Danio rerio: one gene and its partners. The protein of the gene in region 1 purifies or fractionates together with the protein of each later gene. This does not show direct contact. Links are inferred from orthologs where the notes say so. Each region holds a gene or a part of one and is shown in the gene's direction. Other genes may lie near its edges.

Evidence for each region.
Region 2: the proteins of rab11bb (region 1) and rab11fip1a purify together in Homo sapiens (affinity purification with mass spectrometry; 3 studies listed by BioGRID and IntAct, counting the BioPlex papers as one, with this or other methods). This does not show direct contact. The link is inferred for Danio rerio from reciprocal best matches to the Homo sapiens genes RAB11B and RAB11FIP1.
Region 3: the proteins of rab11bb (region 1) and pi4kb purify together in Homo sapiens (co-immunoprecipitation; 3 studies listed by BioGRID and IntAct, with this or other methods). This does not show direct contact. The link is inferred for Danio rerio from reciprocal best matches to the Homo sapiens genes RAB11B and PI4KB.

What each region holds. Positions count from the first base shown.
Region 1 is NC_133177.1:59,786,378-59,790,693, forward strand, and holds the start of rab11bb (RAB11B, member RAS oncogene family, b), read left to right. Parts: upstream 1-1,427; 5' UTR 1,428-1,631; coding exon 1,632-1,671; intron 1,672-4,316. UniProt on the Homo sapiens protein: The small GTPases Rab are key regulators of intracellular membrane trafficking, from the formation of transport vesicles to their fusion with membranes.
Region 2 is NC_133183.1:44,910,913-44,915,037, reverse strand, and holds the start of rab11fip1a (uncharacterized protein rab11fip1a), read left to right. Parts: upstream 1-1,183; 5' UTR 1,184-1,292; coding exon 1,293-1,636; intron 1,637-4,125. UniProt on the Homo sapiens protein: A Rab11 effector protein involved in the endosomal recycling process. Also involved in controlling membrane trafficking along the phagocytic pathway and in phagocytosis. Interaction with RAB14 may function in the process of neurite formation.
Region 3 is NC_133191.1:42,595,793-42,599,451, forward strand, and holds part of pi4kb (phosphatidylinositol 4-kinase beta), read left to right. Parts: intron 1-773; coding exon 774-878; intron 879-965; coding exon 966-1,089; intron 1,090-3,186; coding exon 3,187-3,452; intron 3,453-3,548; coding exon 3,549-3,659. UniProt on the Homo sapiens protein: Phosphorylates phosphatidylinositol (PI) in the first committed step in the production of the second messenger inositol-1,4,5,-trisphosphate (PIP). May regulate Golgi disintegration/reorganization during mitosis, possibly via its phosphorylation.

The sequences.
Region 1 (4,316 bases):
AAAGTCTATTTTGTTTTGATTCGGCTAGAATAAAAGCAGTTTTTAATATTTTAAAAAACATTTTAAGGTCAATAATATTATTATAAAGCTATAGTTCTGAGTTATAAAGTCATAATTCTGCATTATAAAGTCATAATTCAGAGATATAAAGTCACAATTCTGATATATAAAGTCATAATTCAGAGATATAAAGTCACAATTCTGATATATAAAGTCATAATTCAGAGATGTAGTCATAATTCTGCATTATAAAGTCATAATTCTGCATTATATAGTCATAATTCTGCATTATAAAGTCATAATTCAGAGATGTAAAGTCATAATTCTGCATTATAAAGTCATAATTCTGCATTATAAAGTCATACTTCTGAGATATAGTCATAATTCTGCATTATAAAGTCATAATTCTGCATTATAGTCATAATTCTGCATTATAAAGTCATAATTCTGCAATATAAAGTCATAATTCTGCATTATAGTCATAATTCTGCATTATAAAGTCATAATTCTGCAATATAAAGTCATAATTCTGCATTATAGTCATAATTCTGCATTATAAATTCATAATTCTGCAAAATAGTCATAATTCTGAGATATAAAGTCATAATTTTGCATCATAAAGTCATAATTCTGATATATAAAATCATAATTCTACATAATGAAGTCATAATTCTGAGATATAAAGTCATAATTCTGCATTATAAAGTCATAATTCTGCATTATAGTCCTAATTCTGCATTATAAAGTCATAATTCTGCATTATAGTCATAATTCTGCATTATAAAGTCATAATTCTGCATTATAGTCATAATTCTGCATTATAAAGTCATAATTCTGAGATATAAAGTCATAATTCTGAGATATAAATTCATAATTCTGCATTATAAAGTCATAATTCTGCATTATAGTCACCATTCTGAGATATAAAGTCAAAACACAGAGATATAAATTCATAGATCTGAGATATAAAGTCAGAATTCTGCGTTATAAAGTCATAATTTTTCCTAATAAAGTCAGAATTCTGAAATATAAAGTCCAAATTCTGAAATATGAAGTCAGAAAATCACTTCATAACTCATAATTCTCACTTAATAACTCAGGATTGCGAGTTTGTTCCAGACATGTGATAAAAAGTTACAATAGCTTATAAAAACAGGAACAGATTTCTAAAGAATAATATTGCTGATCTGAGAGCAGTGTGTGAGCACTGAAAAAACTGATTTATGATTTGCTAATTTTTTTTAAGGTAAGGTCTTTGCAAACAATTATAAGGGCTGAAGTTAACAAACTAATTAAATTATGTTCAACTTAGTTTATTTGTTTACATTTAGCCCTTATAAATAGTTTGCAACCACTTATTAAAAATATTGTGAATCCAATGAATCATTTTTGTCCTAATGTGGCGCCCCCTACCGGCCGCTGTGGTTCTATTCAGCGGGACTCCTCCCCAATGCAGCCCGAGCAGATCGCTCTTCCTGCGGTGTGACAGCAGCAGCGGCGGCGGCGGCGGTGGCGCATTGTACGCTTTTATCCTTTATTTGACTCTTTTCTTTCTACACTGAGCTAATCAACACAAACTCATCTGATCATCTCCTTCTGGAAGAACTGCAGGACGCGGCGGCTTGTCTAAAATGGCCAACAGAGACGATGAATACGATTTCTTGTTCAAAGGTAAATTCTGCATACAGTCAGAATCATTCATAATCCATCTATTGTTGCTACTGTAGCATGTGTCTGACACAGATCGGAGCCTGTTGGGGAATAGGCACTGTTGAGGAAGCGTCTTTTGCAATGGCATCCTGTGTAAAATGATGCCACACACATATACAAATAACAGTGTTTGACATAGAAACGCCCGCAGAGGCATCAATACCTCAATACTCATGTATCGATCTGTAAAACATCTGCTTGGATGCCTTTACACCGGCTAGAAGGGATACAGCTGCGACCGGAAGTTAACGAGAATTATTTATTTTGTTTATTAAATTACTGATTGAATTTCATTGTGTTAACGTCTACCCCTGAACCCAACCCTCACGACAATGTAAAACAGTAATTATAACTAGAATTATTTATAATACCTATTTAATTTGTCATTAAATATTAGCATTTACTCCTAACCCTCACACTAATGTAAATACAGTAGTTATAACGAGAATTATTCATATTGTTTATTAAATTACTCATTTTAATGTATTGTGTTTACGTCTACCCCTGAACCCAACCCTCACGACAATGTAAAAACAGTAAATATAACGAGAAGTATTCATATTACCTATTAAATTAGTCATTAAATATTATTTAATTAGCATTTACCCCTAACCCTCACACTAATGTAAATACAGTAGTTATCATGAGAATTGTTCATATTATTTATTAAATTACTCATTAAATAGTATTTTATTAACATCTACCGCTTAACCTAAACATCACAGAAATATCAAAGCAGTAAATATAACAATTATTTATGAAATTACTCATTAAAATGTATTTTGTTAACGTCTACCTCTATCCAAACCCCAAAACTAACCCTCATATTAGTGTAAAAGCAGTTATTAAAAAAATGAGAATTATTCATATTATTTATTAATTTACTCATTAATTAGTATTTTATTAACGTCTACCCCTAAACACAGCCCTCACATTAATGTAAAAACAGTAAATATAACGAGAATTGCGTATATTATTTATTAATTTACTCATTAAATTGTATTTTATTAACATTTACCCCCAAACCCAGGCCTTACACTAATGTAAAACATTAAATATGACGAGAATTATCCATATTATTTATTAATTTACTCATTAAATTGTATTTTATTAGTGCCTACCCATAAACCTACCTCTCACACCAATGTAAAAACAGTAAATATAACAAGAATTATTTATTAAATTACCCATTAAAATGTATTTTATTAACATCTACCTCTACCCAAACCCCAAAACTAACCCTCATACTAATGTAAAAGCAGTTATTAAAATGAGAATTATTTATATTATTTATTAATTTACTCATTAAATATTTTAATAACGTCTACCCCTAAACACAGCCCTCACATTAATATAAAACCAGTAAATATAACAAGAATTATTTATAATATTCATTAAATTACCCATAAATAGTATTTTATTAACTTCTACCTCAAAACCCAAGCCTCATACTAATGTAAAAACAGTAATTATAACTAGAATTATATATATTATTTATTAAATTATCCATTAAATAGCATTTAGTTAACATCTACCCCAAAACCCAACCCTCACACTAATGTAAAAACAGTAAATATAATGAGAATTATTCATATTATTTATTAATTTACTCATTAAAATGTATTTTATTAGTATTTACCCCCAAACCCAACCCTCACTTCAATGTAAAAAACAGTAAATATAAGGAAAATATTCATATTATTTATTAAATTATCAAATAAATTGTGTTTTATTAACATCTACCCCTTAACCCAACCTTAACAGTAATGTAAAAACAGTAATTAAAGCAAGTATTATTCATATAATTTATTAATTTACCCTTTATTTGTATTGACGTCTGCTTCCCCAATGCTAAACACAGACCTCACACTAATGTAACAACAGTGTTTATGATGATAATTATTCCTAATATTTATTAAATTATCCATTAAATAGCTTTTAATTAACATCTACCCCAAAACCCAACCCTCACACTAATGTAAAAACAGTAAATATAATGAGAATTATTCATATTACTTATTAAATCATCCATTAAATAGCATTTAATTAACATCTACCCCAAAACCCAACCCTCACACTAATGTAAAAACAGTAAATATAATGAGAATTATTCATATTACTTATTAAATCATCCATTAAATAGCATTTAATTAACATCCACCCCTGAACCCAACCCCCACACTAATGTAAAAACAGTAAATATAATGAGAATTATTTATATTATTTATTAAATTACTCGTTAAAATGTCTTTAATTAATGTCTACCCCTACCCAAACCCCAAAACTAACCCTCATACTAATGTAAAAGCAGTTATTAAAATGAGAATCATTTATATTATTTATTAATTTACTCATTAAATAGTATTTTATTAGTATTTACCCCTAAACCCAACCCTCACGCTAATGTAAAAATAGTAAATATTACAAGAATTATTTATATTATTAATTAATTTACTCATTAAATAGTTTTTTATTTACATCTTCCTCTAAACCTTCCTCTCACATTAATTTAAATACAGTAATTGTAACAAGAACTATTCATATTATTTAATAAATTACTCATTAAAATGTATTTTATTAGCATAAGCCAAAACCCAACCCTCACA
Region 2 (4,125 bases), on another chromosome or scaffold:
TTGAATGTGCTGGCCAGTTTATTTGTCTCATAAATGACAATAAGCTACAGTTTTTAATGTAAAACTTTAACAGATTCCTTTTTTTTCTAATGATATATGATGTAATAAATTTATAATTTTAAAAAATAAGTATTTTATCACATTTATTTATTCTAAATCTTTAGGAAATATTTGGTACATCAAAAAGTGTGGTTATAATGACCACCATCCAACAAGTGAATTCAGCTAAAAATTAGTGCTTAAAATGTCACTAAAATGCAGTATTTAAATTTAATAACTACATTGAAAGTTACTGCAAAAAGGTCTATGTTTGAAAAAAAAAAAAAAAAAGAACCACTAACTTCACCAGGCTACAGGCCTGTATCTATCTAAATGAAAAAAAAAAAATCCCAGCCCAACGATTTGCGTCTGACAATTACGTAACCTCTGTTTCCATGTGAAATGCAAATTCACATCCTTCACAAGAGTTTAAACCAATTCAAAGTTAGTTGTTATTCGACTGACACGTAATTTATCCTATCAGAGTGCTGTATTGTAGTGACTGGGCGGAACAAATACTGTCACGTAGGACAAAGGAATGAACATCACGCTTGTAAACTACTAAGGATACTGTTTCTCTAGTGCCTGGAGCAGACTGATCTGAGGGAGGATGAATAATCGGCTTCATAATAATTACTCACGCTCCCTTGTTCTGTTGTCATCTTGCTAAATATACTTTATGTGGTTCATTTGACCCGAGGAAGTAAATAGGGGTTACATATTGAAAATCCAATAAGCGTTCAGGTAACCGTGCTTAAACATAGAACATTTTTAAATATCCATGAAGGTAAACTCCACTGAGGTTTTAAGGTATTTTGTGACTGCGAAACGTGCATGAATAGTCAATGAATGCTATGCTAGTGTCTGATTGGTTTTCTGTTGTCGAACTCGTTGACATATTCAATCAACCATCGTTTACTGTTAACTTTTTGAGGTTAAAATAATACTGAAATTAGGGCCAAAGAGTAAAAGCGGTACAGACACATTGTTTAAAGTAGCATTAACCCGGAATTCTAAAATAAACCATCATAAGCTCTTCTGTAATAGCTTAACTTGAAGAATGGTGTGATACCTGCATCACCTGAGCGCTGGGTACACACTGTGCGTCATGCGTAAAGGGCGGGACTTGTGAGATCTCCCAAACAGAACAGTTACACACAGTAGCTTTGAACGACGCCGGACACACGGCAAACATCAAGCAGGGACGTACTTACAAAGAGCAATTTTAGTCCCGTTTGAACTTGTATTTAAACATGTCTTTGGGTGACCAGCAGTGGTATCCCACCAGCGTTCAGGTAACCGTGCTCAAAGCACGAAACTTACGTATCAAGGGCAAAAATGGAACGAACGACGCCTATGCCATCATGCAGGTGGGCAAGGACAAGTTTTCCACCTCGGTAGCGGAGAAATGCGTCTCACCGGAATGGAAGGAGGAAGCGACGTTCGACTTGCCGCTGGTACATCAGGGGGACGTGGAACGATGCACGCTGTACATCATCGCCATGCACCGTGCCCTGGTGGGGCTAGACAAGTTTTTGGGGCAGGCTGTCATCAATTTAGTGGACCTCCACGCCAACAGATCACGCAAGAAAACCGAGTGAGTGCCGTTCTGTCTTATACGGAAATAATGTAGATATGACATTATCTGAGTGTCATAAAATATGCCACTGACTCAAAAGTTTAATTAATAAACTGCCGATGAGTTAACCATAGCTAGTTTTGGTCTATGATTCTGCATGGAAAAGTTTTAATACTCCGCCCTTTTAGCACGGCATATTATTATTAGGGGGTCAAGCGCGTAGCGCTGAAACCCTATTGTATTTGTTAGGATTTTTATTATTATTATTATTCTGCCGAAGTCACTATTGCCCAGGCCAAACCGTAAGGCCGAGAGAGCTGAAACTTGGCCAGAAGGTAGTACCCCGGTACACTACGTTCTCACCAAAGATCAGCCAAATCGGACCATAGGTGGCGCTATGGCGCCAAAAACCCACTTTTTGGACATTTTTGGCCGTTATTTGTTTACCGTTTGTCGTAGACTCAAAAACTTTACATATTTTGAATCCTTGGGTTAACCCGAACAAAAGTGCACAGCTGCACTTTTTGCTCTACGGCGCACCGTTTTCCCGCTACATCGCAATTTGTCCGAAACCTATTTTTGCGAACTAGTCCTAGGTTTTTCACTCAATCTAAACCAAACCAGCTCTCAAATGTTCTCTAGACACTGAATATCAATAATTATCAAAAAAAAGTTGACATTTTTATTCTCACTCGAAACAGTACACAACAATGTTCAATGCTAATTGAAGCTAAATGCTAATTGTGGCTATAACTTTTGAACGGAATGAGATATCATCACCAAACTTGGTACACACATGTATAAGCTCAATTTCAGGTCACAGTGCAAAAACAGTAGACTTTGGCCACACTGTGGCGCTATAAAGCTTAAAAACCATAAAATGACTCTAACCTTACAACCGTTAGTCCGATCAACTTGAAATTTGGCATGCAGTGTCTTTGATCAGTTTGCCATGAATCATTATAAGGACATTGGCACATCTCAAAAAACATGGCCGCCATTAGCCAATAAATATTGAGCAGCCATTTAACAAGGTTAACGATCAGTGATCGTAACGAAACTCGCTGGGCATGTTCGACTCACTGTCCTAGAGGTCTGTAAGAATTTTGAAAGAAATCGGCCACTAGGGGGCGATTTTACACAATTTTAAGGTGTAATGAGTTGTGTATCACACAACCTTTTGCAAAACCACAGAAAATACATATCATATGATAGGCCTGCTTATACCGAACAGTTTGACACTAAAATCACTGCTGTCACTCGCACTGTTCATTAAATATTCATCAACATATGAAAAACCTACTTTTGCGAACTAGTCCCTGGTTTTTCACTCAATCGCAACGAAACCAGTGTTGGTGGAATCTCTGGACTGTGTAGATCAATAATTATCAAAAAAAAGTTGAACTTTTTACTTTGGCTAGCTGTAACAGGCTAATTTACAAAAGGGGCGTGTCCACACGGACCTACATGCCTGTAAACCAATAAGGAAAACTCACAACATCACAGAAATTGGTGAGCACATGTGCCATATCAATGAGAAGAAACTTGCAAAATTTTGTGAAGATCAAACCATAGGTGGCGCTATAATAGCAAAAATAGTCTTAAAAACATGCCAAATGGCTTAAAAATAAAGTAAATGTGCTTCATTTAAACACTATTTCACAAATACACTTAATCTACATATCATGTGATAGGTCTGCTCATACCGAACAGTTTGACACTAAAGCCACTGCTGTCACTCACACCGTTCATTAAAAAACCATCAATATAAACAAAACATACTTTTGCGAACTAGTCCCTGGTTTTTAGCTCAATCACAACGAAACCAGTGTTAAATGAACCTCTGGACTGAGTAGATCAATAATTATCAAAAAAATGTTGAACTTTCCATTTTAGATAGCTGTAACAGGCTCATTTACAAAAGGGGCGTGTCTACACGAACCTACATGCCTGTAAACCAATAAGAAAAACCCAAAACATCACAGAAATTAATGAGCACATGTGGCATATCAATGCGAATTAACATGCAAAATTTTGTGGTGATCGGGCAATAGGTGGCGCTATAATAGTAGAAATGGTTCTAAAAACATCATAAAATGGCTTAAAAATGCAGTAAATGTGCTTCATATACACACCTATCACTGAAATGATGTACAAGTTAATTTTTCTTGCCCATATTGGATGTTTAAATGTCTTAAAAACACATATTTTCAATATTCTATCATTTTAGCCACTATAACACAGACTTTTAACTGTCACTTACCATTTCTAACCACTAGATGTCACAACAAGACCACTTATTTATTGTTCATAACATTTGCATACCTTTGTTGTTTTACATCTTTTTGATTTGAAATCAGGGAAATTGCATTTAGGATCATTCTGAATCATATTTTGACCTGATATAAACACTGCTATGCATTAAACATCTAATTTGGTCACAGTTAACCTCTGTGTAATAATTCTAATAGGCAAAACTGGTTCTATAATTAAACACCTTGTTTTAA
Region 3 (3,659 bases), on another chromosome or scaffold:
GTAGTGCTGTGCGTCATTTGTTTAACCCTTTAAGGTTATGATGATGATATAGAAACATTCTGAATGTAAAACAACAGCAGACTACAACTATAACGATAAAGATGCAGAGAAATGATATCATTGTGGATCACTTTCAGAATTTTTTTTTCTCCACTAATAAATGATAAAACACTGACAGTCAGTCAGAATTCATAGAAATATAAAGGGCTTCCACAATTTAAAGATCCAGACAACATTGTGGAGAAGCTCAGCTGGACGTTAAGCCTTTTTTTCAAAGATCATTTAAAGATAATGACTATCTAGAAAACAGTCGGTTGTACCATGCTTAAGAATGAAAAAAAGACATTGAAGTTTTGCAAGCCAGGCTAATTTTAGTTTCAGTAATTGTAGATGCTAGTTTCAGGATCTTTTTGTTGACTCCTTTGAAAATGCTAGGGAAAATAGCTCGATGTTTTTATTTCACTTCACTGACCACGAGTGCTACATGTGTTTAATTAGATGAATCAATTTTTAAATACAGATTCACTGGTTAGATGCGCACTGAAGACATCTGCTGGTTACAAGGGGGTAATGCCGAATAAAAAGCATAGACTAAAAATAAACAGGTTTTTATCATTCAGTGTGGACACAAATATATTTATTGTTTAATTTAGCATTTTAGCATTTTAATTTATTGTTTAATTTATTCTTGTGCTTTGTGTGAATGAATCTTAATCATAACGGTGAACAATAAGAAAGACAATACTTTTATAACTAATGTTTTTGTATTTTAGACGACGCCTGTCTGAGCAACTCGCCCACACGCCGACCACATTTAGGAAGGACCCAGAGGATCCTTCAGCTGTAGCCTTAAAGGAGCCATGGCAGGAGAAAGTGAGGTATGTGCATGTCTTTCTCTGAAAGGATCGGTTGTTTATTGGTTCATTAGTTGTGTTTGATTTCATTTGTCCTGTGCTTTTGAATAGGCGGATCAGGGAGGGCTCCCCCTATGGCCACCTGCCCAACTGGCGTCTACTTTCTGTAATTGTGAAATGTGGCGATGACCTAAGACAGGAGCTTCTCGCCTATCAAGTGCTGAAACAACTGCAGGTTGCACTCCTTAAATTTTGTCTTACAATTTGGGATTGGATTTTAAAATATACAAAATGTATATATCACTGCTAGTGTTTTATTGTGCTCGCTTACTTTCCCTTTTTTAAATTGTGTTGAAATAAAATCTACTTGTTCATGCTTTAAACCACAGGCGTCAAAGTCAGTTCCACAGCTCAACACAGTTTAGTTCCAACCCTTATTAAACACACCTGATCCAACTAATTCAGTCATTCAGGCTTGTTTGAAACCTACAGGTAAGCGTGTTGGAGCAGGGCTGGAACTAAACTGTGCAAGGCTGCGGCCCTCCAGGAACTGACTTTAACACCCTTGCTTTAAGGCATTTCAATTAATTAATAATTTTTTAATAATACATATTTGACAGAATTTTAGATTTTTATTTTATTCTTTAAACAAAAGTGGTTATAACCATTAGTAAAGTTTGCAGTTTTATCAGTTTAGTTTTACCAGAGTCCAATTGTTAAGATTTAATCTAAGATTCATTTATATAATGAGTTTAAAACATTTATGCTTCAGAAGTTTTGGTTCACTCAGATGTTTTATTGATGTTTTATGCTCACAAATGCCGAACATATTTAATAAAAACAGAAATTGTTTTTACAATTTAATCATTTCCATTCTAAAATGTATTGTATTTCTGTTGTGGAAGTGCTGAAATTTTTTTCATTGATTATATGATCCATCAGAAAAAATTAAATAAAACAAAAAACTTAAGTTGTGCAGCAGTTGAGTTGCTGATTTAATAATTTTATTTGTTTTGTGGAAATTATTGATACATTTATTTTTAGATTTTAAAAAACATACTGGCTGTATCTGAAATTGCATACTTTCATACTATATAGTACGCTAAAAACAGTATGCAAGCCGAGTAGTATGACCGAATTCATAGAATTAGATATACAGTGAGCGAGAAGTACCCGGTTGACCTACTACGTCCGGTAGGATTGGGTCAATAGACGATGTCATCGTCCAACTCCAAGTGCCCGCATCGCAATCCTTCACCCGGCCCCCATCACAGCAGCAACCTGCTTGCAAAAATACACACTCAGGCCCTGTTTACACTAATATGTCTTAGTTTAAAATGGCATTTTAGAATGAAAACAAACCACGTCCACACTGTCTTTTACCTAGCATATCTAAACAGCTCTCCATCCACACTTTACCGCTGAAAACACGCATCACGTGGCCACACACTTATACACACTCTGGCATGCGCACATCAGAGCTCCACGCAGTCAGTATGGGATGCTTTAATCACAAAACCCTAGAGTTCAGTGCTTGTTGGACAGTTATTCAATGATGTACTGCTGGATGGCGTCTCGCAATAGTTATTAAACCTGAGATTTAACTAATCTTCGTTCGCTTTCATGCTTGTACTTTGTAATTTTAGCGAAAACCTCAGAAACTGTTGGTTGTGCACCTTTTTTACCAACCAAATTTGTCGACGACATTATAATGACACAGATCACTCTGTCTATTCATGCCAGAGTCCTGTGGAAAAAGTGATGGACAGGTGGTAATTTGTGTGTAACTTATCTTAATTTATGACTTTTGGGTAAAACAAAGACCATGTGGTTCAGGTAGTTGAAATGGTAGGCTACAAATCATTAATTAATTATTCATAAATAATTAATTCACCGCCACCTATGATGACGATGTCATCGTCCATCGCGATGTTTCACATTAGACATTGCCCAACCCTAACTTCCGACAAGATTCTGAAGTGTGCATCAGATAGATGCCATGCTATCCCATGATGCACCGCGAGAGAATTCATGAATGGGAGTAAAGCGACGCAACTGATGTGGGTAGGTCACATGATGTGACAAAATGGTGGATGTTGTACGTCCGAGTTCCATTCATTTAAATTTAAATGCAATACCTACTGAGTAGTAGGCAGTTTCGGATGTAGCCACTATTACATTTAATCAAGTTAATGCTTCATTGTTGAATAAAATGTTGACCACTTTCCTGCAGAATTCATTCCAAACTTTTTAATGGTCAGTATTTTTACAAGTTTTTGTGCTCAGACATTGTAGATCTACTGGATGATCTAAACATTTCTTTGTTTTCCAGATTATCTGGGAGCAGGAGCGGGTTCCCTTATGGATCAAACCCTACAAGATCTTGGTCATCTCTTCAGACAGTGGCATGATTGAACCAGTGGTCAATGCTGTGTCCATTCACCAGGTAAAGAAACAGAGTCAGCTTTTACTGCTCGATTACTTCCGGCAAGAACACGGCAACTTCAACACAGAAGAATTCCTTACAGCTCAGCGCAACTTTGTTCAGAGCTGCGCAGGATATTGTCTCATCTGCTATCTGCTGCAGGTCAAAGACCGGTGAGAGAAACCACGGCCAGTAAAATCATGCTTGAACAGGAACTGAATGATTTGGATAAGCTGTTATAAACAGCATTGTTTTTCTCTGGTTTTCAGGCACAACGGAAATATCTTGCTGGACTCTGAAGGCCACATCATTCACATCGATTTTGGCTTCATCCTTTCCAGCTCTCCACGAAACCTAGGCTTCGAGACATCAGCCTTTAA